2 linked regions of the Nothobranchius furzeri genome follow. The protein of the gene in region 1 binds, or shares a complex with, the protein of each later gene. Links are inferred from orthologs where the notes say so. Each region holds a gene or a part of one and is shown in the gene's direction. Other genes may lie near its edges. The genes, in order: cdhr5b and anks4b.

Region 1 (3,822 bases):
GGGAGATCGACAGCCAGATTGGTTCAGCATCTGCAGTGATGCGGACGCTTAGCTGATCTGTCGTGGAAAAGAGGGAGCTGAGCCAGAAAGCCAGGCTCTCGATTTACCGGTCGATCTACGTCCCAATCCTCACCTATGGTCATGAGCTTTGGGTAATGACCGAAAGAACGAGATCCCGGATACAAGCAGCCAAAATGAGTTTCCTCCGTAGGGTGGCTGGGCTCAGCCTTAGAGATAGGGTGAGGAGCTCGGACATTCGGGAGGGACTCGGAGTAGACCCGCTGCTCCTCCGGATCGAAAGGAGTCAGTTGAGGTGGTTTGGGCATCTGGTCAGGATGCCTCCTGGACGCCTCCCTGGGGAGGTGTTTCGGGCATGTCCTGCTGGCAGGAGCCCCCCGGGTCGACCCAGGACACATTGGAGAGGTTTCATCTCCAATCTGGTCCAGGAACGCCTTGGGGTCCTGCTGGAGGAACTGGTGGAGGTGGCCGGGGAGAGGACGGTCTGGAGTCCCTAGTTGGGATGCTGCCCCCACAACCCGGACCCGGATAAGCGGAGGAAGATGACGACGACGAAAACAGACTAAAGAAGTGAACAAATGGCCACATAAAAGTCTTCATTGCATAAAATTGTGCCTCAGACTGTTTTAATGAACATCTCCTTCTAGATTTGGTGGATTATTAATTTGTGGTGGGTGGAGACATGAGTAATTAACTACCAGCATGGACACTGGGAGTTCCTGAAAGTGGATTTCATAATAAAGTGTGTAGGGTAGAATCAGAGAAATCCTATTGTTGTGCGAGTGTCAACAGCTCCAACTCCAACCCCCTTAAAAAGGAAAATTCCTCATTTTAACAACATTTACTGTAATTGTTATTTGTTTTCAACCTGAAACTCAGTTATATTCTTAGGAACTTTCTTCAGCGACTCCAGATTGAACCCCAACAGAGCATCTTTAGTCCACATCTACACACGGAGTAACTGTTATAATGTCCTACTTTTTAGAATAAGACCAACATCTGTAGAAATTTTGAACATGTTTTTTTTTCTTGTTGCCGCGCCACACAGTGCTGGTGCTCGCAGGTGATCCTGTCAACGTTGGTCAGCCCGTGAAACCCAGATTCAGGGGTTTGCTGTCAGAAAACATCAGATCTGACTAAACCTTTGTGACTTAAATGAGAATATCATTCACTCTCAGTGAAGTGAATTTTTCTGTGACAAGTTAAAACTGGTTTCCAAATGTTGTCAGTATTGTTCAGGATGCTTTCATCCCTTCAAATACGACTTAGAGGTTTTCTAATATGAAATCTGGTTTTATTTAAAAATCTGGTTCAATAAATGAATACATTTAATTTAAATTTCAAAGATGTTTCAATTCAAATGCTGCAAAAGTTTTGAAATTTGGTGCATTTTACTCTGAAATGAAAATGTTCTTTAGTTCATGAGTTTAATTTGTATTTTCTGTGGATAATAATCCAAACGGGATTCGTGTTGTCAGGAAGTCAGAACTTCTATAGTGTTCTAATTTGGAAATTATGAATGTAAGGAATATATTGTTAACTCTTGTCTGATAGATGAGGGGGGAAATTACTTGATCTGATCTTTTTCTTACCTTTTCGACGTTGTTTAATGTAAAGTTTTGTTCTGTACAAAGTTAAATTACAGCAATCCAACCAAACAGAGCCTGGATTTGTATTCTGAACAGTTTAAGGAGACGTGTGTGACGCGTCAAAAAGCAGAACCTGCTCAACTATTAAAACCACTAATGGTGAAAAACATCTAAATGTTGTAGCAACTTCTGCATCAATATTATACAAACTGTTTGAATCATTCTTTTCTGCTGAAAGAGAACTTTGACGTACACGAGCGACCGCTGTTGTTTGCCATCAACTGTCGTGATTGGTTAAAGCAGCTCTCGGCTGTGGGCCCAAGTGCAAGTGGGTGGGCTCAGGTCCGGTAGGCCCCACCCACAACACCAGTGTTGTCTTTCCTGTGGGAAACGGGTAACAATGGCTCTTCGATGGGAAAAGGTTGCCGACCCCTGGCTTACACCAAACACGTGTTCTTATACTTGATGTTGGATTTTGTCTCCATCAGACTAATAACTGAATTTCTTTCTCTACCAACAGTCTGCGACGCCCCTTCCGCCGTAAACTTTGCAGAAAACAACAAAGTGGGCGATCCTGTGACAACCATCTTTGTCCAAGCTGGAGTGATCCTTGAACTGACCTCCACAGACATCCCCTTTAGACTTGATGCAAACCAGCTAATAGCTACAGCTGTGCTGGACTATGAAAACACAGAGGTCAGGACTGATGCTATTTCTGGCTGAGACTCGTTTTTATTCATCAGTTCATATTTTCTTTACTATAGGAATGCTTTCTAATTGTATTTCCAGACCCAAATCTTTTCTGTTGGCGTCCTCTGCAGGTTAGAAGAAGTATCTCAAGTAAGACTGGATTTTATTATTTTAACAATAATGAAGCATTTGAAGCAAATATGTAAAACTAAAGTTAAAACTCCACAGCAGCAACAAAGTTCATTCAGATGAAAGCTTTTGTTTCCAGAGAACCCTCAGAATCACCATTCTTGTGGAAAATCTAAACGACAACCCGCCCGTTTTTGACCAGAATGTGTACCACGCCAGTGCCAACGAGGTAGTATTATAGTAGTATTGTGATTCCGTTGGTGTTTTCTTCCTCCCCCCTGACGGCCTTATGTTGAGGGACATGTCCTCCACAGCTGTCTCCCATAGACACAACTGTAGGAAGGTTTGCTGCCACAGATGCTGATGGACCTCGGATCTTCTACCAGCTGGCATCTTCCCCAGTAAGAATCGAGGTTTTTTCTGGTTTGTTTTGTCATCCTTGATCTCCTTCTCTCACCACTCCAGAGCCATCATCCCAGATCCATGATTTATCTGTTTTTATTTATTGTTTTTTTGATAGAGTGAGTTTAAACTCAAGTCATCCATTATCCCAGAAATCCTCGTTAACGGGCGCCTCGACTATGAAAAAGTCAAAGAGTATCAGCTTGTGCTGGAAGCCCAGGTGAGTATTGCTGTCTGGGGATATTTAGATTTTATTCCACCATAAGGTGGAAAAAACGGCTTATTTTTCTAGAGTAAGCAGCCATTTTAATGTCGTAGGACACGCCGCTGGCGTCACCACCTGAGGAAACCTCTTTTACTGCCACCACAACCATCATGATCTCCATCTTGGATGTTGACAACAGACCTCCTTGGTTCCAACCTTGCCACCAAACTGAAGTGAATGGAGCTGTGGTCTGTGAGACAACTGGCTACACTGGCAAAGTTGACCTAGATGAACAAGTGGTGAGTTGCCTCTGTTCCACAGCGCCGACTCCAGATCAGCTGCTGACAGAATATTTTTATGTGTTGCTGCTTTTGAAAAGCTAAACAAGTGTTTTGTTCCTGTTCAGACTGGAGTCCTACCCCTGAAACCAGGTCCTCTCTATGCCATTGATGGAGACTTTGGGATAAATGAGCCGATTAGATACTCGTTCCTTTCCGGTAAGGAGCTTAGAGTTGCAGTGGTTGTTATTCCTGAAGCAGCTCAGTCTGTGTTTGTGTTTTAGAAAATGAACCGGGCCTTTTTGTAATCAACCAAGACACCGGAAACATCACCATGTCGAGGCCAGCCGATGTACTGGAGCCAATCAGACTGACAGTTCTGGTAATATAAAAAGCGCGCGCGCACACACACACGCACACACACACACACACACACACACACCTTCATCAAGGTAACCTCTCATTTTGAAAGAAGGTCCTGGGGGGATGCGAGTCAGGCGCACAGACATGT
Region 2 (4,395 bases), on another chromosome or scaffold:
TTATTTGGAATCATCACATCTTATTGGTCATAATTAACTACGTAGATCCATTACAGCTTTCCTACATTGGCTGCCTGTTAAATTCAGAATAGATTTTAAGATCCTCCTTCTCACACATAAAGCTCTTAATAATCAAGCTCCATCTTCCATAAGTGACCTGATTATTCCATATGTTCCTAACCGAACACTTCACTCTCAGACTGCAAGTTTGCTGGTGGTTCCCAGAATATCTAAAAATAGGATGGGAGAAAGTTCTTTTAGCTATCAGGCTCCTCTCCTGTGGAACCAGCTCCCAGCTTTAGTCCATGAGGCAGACACCTTGTCTACTTTTAAGACTGGACTTAAATTATTTGATAGGGTCTATGGTTAAAATCTGATGTTAGCCCAAATCTGGACAAGTGAGGGAGTAGAGGGAGGTGGAGTGTACAGTCGGTAAAAACGACTCTCCCTTGCCCTGCCTCCAACATGCTTCCACCTAAAAGGCTAGGTTATCCAGAGTTATCTCTGTAGTTATGCTGCTATAGGCTTAGACTGCTGGAGGACACACTGACCACTTTCTACACTCTACAACTTTCTTCTACAATTTGCTCTTTAACTGTATTACTTTCTGCTATTTCAGCTGTTTATGTTTTTTCTCTAAGTGTTTTTCTCCCCAGAAGAAGCTAGAATGATGTTCTGCTGAGCTGTGGTGGCCTCATGGAGGGGGCCATTGGCTTGAACACTGTTGCTAACCACTTAAACATTCTCCCTCTCCTGATAATACAATTTAACTTTCTTTGACATTGAATGTGCTACTACTAGTTTACCCATTTAATTATAGATTCACTAGGATAAATACAATAAAGTTTATCTCTCACCAAATAGAATATTTACTAAGAAATCACAATGTAACCATAGAAACACTACTTGGTATATATGTTGTGTGGTGTGTGTGTGTGTGTGTGTGTGTGTGTGTGTGTGTGTGTGTGTGTGTGTGTGTGTGTGTGTGTGTGTGTGTGTGTGTGTGTGTGTGTGTGTGTGTGTGTGTGTGTGTGTGTGTGTGTGTGTGTGTGTGTGTGTGTGTGTGTGTGTGTGTGTGTGTGTGTGTGTGTGTGTGTGTGTGCTCTGTCTTCTCCAGCCCCAGTGAGTCGTGGTGGATGGCTGCTTATTCTGAGCCAGGATCCTCTGGAGGTTTCTTCCTGTTAAAAGGGAGTTTTCCTCTCCACTGTCGCTAAATGCTTGCTTAGTATGAGGATTGCTGTAAAGTCACTGACACTAGTTAGTGACTCGATGCAATTTGCTGGGTTCCTTATGTAGGAAACTTTTAAACTGGTATCCTCTTTAACTGGTCACATGTCTGTTGTGATACTTGTGCTTTCAGGGATGATAGTTAAAGCAGGAACTGACGACATCAAGCTGGACTTTGTTTTATAGCTCAGCTGCTCACACGCCCAGTGATCACTTTGTTTGCTCGGGTCAGCCATCGCTGTTCCAATTCTGTGGTCAGAGGAGGCAGCAACACATTCATTTGAAAGATGTCGAGGTACCACAAGGCAGCGATCGATGGTAACTTGGACCTCTTGAAGGAGGCAACAAGGAAGCACCTGAACACCGCAGATGATGATGGGATGACTCCCACCCTACTGGCTGCTTTTCATGGACACGTCAACGCTCTTCAGCTCATATGCAGCAGAGAGTAAGTTACTTTCTATTATCCAACCAGGATTAGTCTGAAATCAGGCTGTTTGTGGATCAGAACTCTGTCTGTTATTATGATCACTGCTATTCACAAATGAATTATTCCTCCCTAGAGAATTAAATTAAGATTAACAATAAGTCATAAATAACAGCAAAGGAGCAAAGGTCAGCGTTACCGTAGAAGGTGTTTTATGGCTTCTTTTTCATTCAATTGATTTTTATGGGACTTTATTTACACCGGTTGATGTTTTCCATCTTTCTTCCACATTCTCCTTTGAGCAGAGCCAAAATTTTTTATTTGTTCTGTAAAACAAAAGAGCCTTTCATTCAGCCATCTATCCCCCAGTACCCCCACCTTGGCTCCATTAACAGCAACAAAGGACTGGTTAAAATCTAGCCTGAGACCCAGAGAATATGTTTGATACATGACCTAAATCAGAAGTTAAGTCTTTTTATCAGAACCAGTCAGATCTGGGCTTCATAATAAACTCCTGTAGCGATTAAAGCTTTTATGGCTCCAACAGGAAGGAAAACCATTAAAGGCCTTCCAGTTTAACAGCTCAATAGCAACAGCTCATTCTGTAAACCACTGATTTTAACACACTTATTATGTTATAACACAATAATATTGTGGTTTTTATTTTACTTTTATATTACACAACACAAAGGGAGATTTGTGAAGAGACTGCTTTTTGAAGGTTATCGAAAAGTAAAGAATAATAATAAATGAATAAATAAATAACTATATTTCCCATTCATTTATAAATAAAATAGTTTGATCAGCAAAGCACAAGCATGTTGCCAGCGCTCTTAATGATAAACACTCAGATTAAATACATGGAGACGTGTTTAACCAACGTGTGTCTACTTTTTTTTATTATTTATTTATTTATTTATTTCAAAGAACAAGACGAAAATAAGAACAAAAACATGGAATATTTACAACAACACACACAGAAAAAAACAAAGAATGAAAAGGAACAGAGAGAAGAAAAAAATCTTATTTTTTTTTACTAAAGCAACATAAAATTCATCCCCCTCAACAAATTCAACTTGCACACTCACTTTGCAGACACCATCTTAATTCATATTTATATAATTTCTTAATACATTTAATTTGACACCTTTTTAAAATACATTAAAGAGCAAGTCACCCCCTACCAGAGTCTTACTCCACTCCCACTTCCTGTTTGAAAATGCAACAAATGCCGTTGCCTGAGGGCGAAGCCGCTAACAAACACACACACACACACACACACAGGCTCACAATGGCATTGTAACATCACATGGTACCAGCTGATGTCATAGGGTACCTCTAAGCCAATAACGACAGCAGATTAAAATACACATGCAGTGCTGAGTTTTTACCTGAAGATGGCGCAATACTGACAGTTTGGCAGAATTTTTAAATTTGAATTAAGATGCACTAAAGTGCCTAATTATTGACTACACATGTCTACAGCATGATTAGACACTCATTTTTTTCAGTTTATCAGCAAAAAAAGTTATAATAACTAAGGGTTCGAAACTCGGTTGTAGACTTTCTGCGTGGAGTTGCATGCTCTCCCCATGCATGCGTGAGCTTCCCCCACAGATCACAACATGCCCTATAGGTTGAAACATTGTACGTCACTTTGTACGTCTGCCAAATAAATAAACATAAACATAAATAAAGGGTTACATGGCTCTCTATAGCGAGTGTTACTGATGGCTTTCTGTTAATGCCATTATTGCCATTGAAGTTAGATGTTTTGTCCTAAATCCATATTGTTCATGGTTTAAAATATTATTGTTTTCAATCAATCTATCCAACCTTCATTGAAAAAAAATATATATTTTAAACCTTGAACAGTATCGATCTGACTTAACCACTGATGGTGCTGTAAAAGTCTATCTGTTGTGAGCTCAAATACAATATTTATCATTTCCTTTGCATATAAACACTTTTTTGTTTTTATTCAAATACACATTTTTGCACAGATAATGTTAACTACAAAGAAGAAAACATTATTAATATATATCAGAGTTGGAAAAAACATGATGAAAGTTATTTTGTTCATACAAAAATTAATTTTACTAACTGACAACAATAATAATCTTTGTTTTATCGTTTTTGCAAGGTTTTCTCGACATCTATAATAAGGCCTACTTCGTTTTCATTCCTTTCTCCTCTGCATCTGTTTTGAGCTGCAAAAGACACGTTGTTGAGCTAAACTTTAAAGTTAAAATATGGAACACTTTTCTTATTTTTTAAATAATACCCCCACAGGGCGTTTAGAGGTGCAGGATGAATGTACAGTTTCTCCTTTAAAAGCTATATTTAAAAAATGCATAATCAAATTTTTATTTTGTTGGGCATGACACTGGCTTTATGTTTACATCTACTGGAACAGGGTGCTGAAACGTGTCAGCAGTGAACCAACATCCCAGCTGCTGGAAAATTTGTCCTATTGTTGCAATACCACCTCTGAACACCAGAGTGTCCATGTTCCATATTCAGCCTTTAATGTTTGATTCTCATTTACAATCGATTACTCTTCTGTTGTTTTTGTCTCTTTTGCTTTATCTAGAGGAGATCCCAACAAGAGTGACATCTGGGGGAACACGCCCCTGCACCATGCAGCAGCTAACGGCCACATGCACATTATCAGCTTTCTGGTTAATTTTGGAGCCAATCTCTTTTCTCAGGACAATGAATTCCACACAGCAATGGATGTC

The links.
Region 2: cdhr5b (region 1) and anks4b share a complex: the UniProt entries of both Homo sapiens proteins name them as parts of the IMAC/intermicrovillar adhesion complex. The link is inferred for Nothobranchius furzeri from reciprocal best matches to the Homo sapiens genes CDHR5 and ANKS4B.

What each region holds. Positions count from the first base shown.
Region 1 is NC_091754.1:42,620,040-42,623,861, forward strand, and holds part of cdhr5b (cadherin-related family member 5), read left to right. Parts: intron 1-2,127; coding exon 2,128-2,303; intron 2,304-2,396; coding exon 2,397-2,447; intron 2,448-2,565; coding exon 2,566-2,655; intron 2,656-2,740; coding exon 2,741-2,827; intron 2,828-2,946; coding exon 2,947-3,048; intron 3,049-3,146; coding exon 3,147-3,332; intron 3,333-3,439; coding exon 3,440-3,530; intron 3,531-3,595; coding exon 3,596-3,693; intron 3,694-3,822. UniProt on the Homo sapiens protein: Intermicrovillar adhesion molecule that forms, via its extracellular domain, calcium-dependent heterophilic complexes with CDHR2 on adjacent microvilli. Thereby, controls the packing of microvilli at the apical membrane of epithelial cells.
Region 2 is NC_091752.1:56,799,554-56,803,948, forward strand, and holds the start of anks4b (ankyrin repeat and SAM domain-containing protein 4B), read left to right. Parts: upstream 1-1,283; 5' UTR 1,284-1,514; coding exon 1,515-1,675; intron 1,676-4,247; coding exon 4,248-4,395. UniProt on the Homo sapiens protein: As part of the intermicrovillar adhesion complex/IMAC plays a role in epithelial brush border differentiation, controlling microvilli organization and length. Plays a role in assembly of the complex.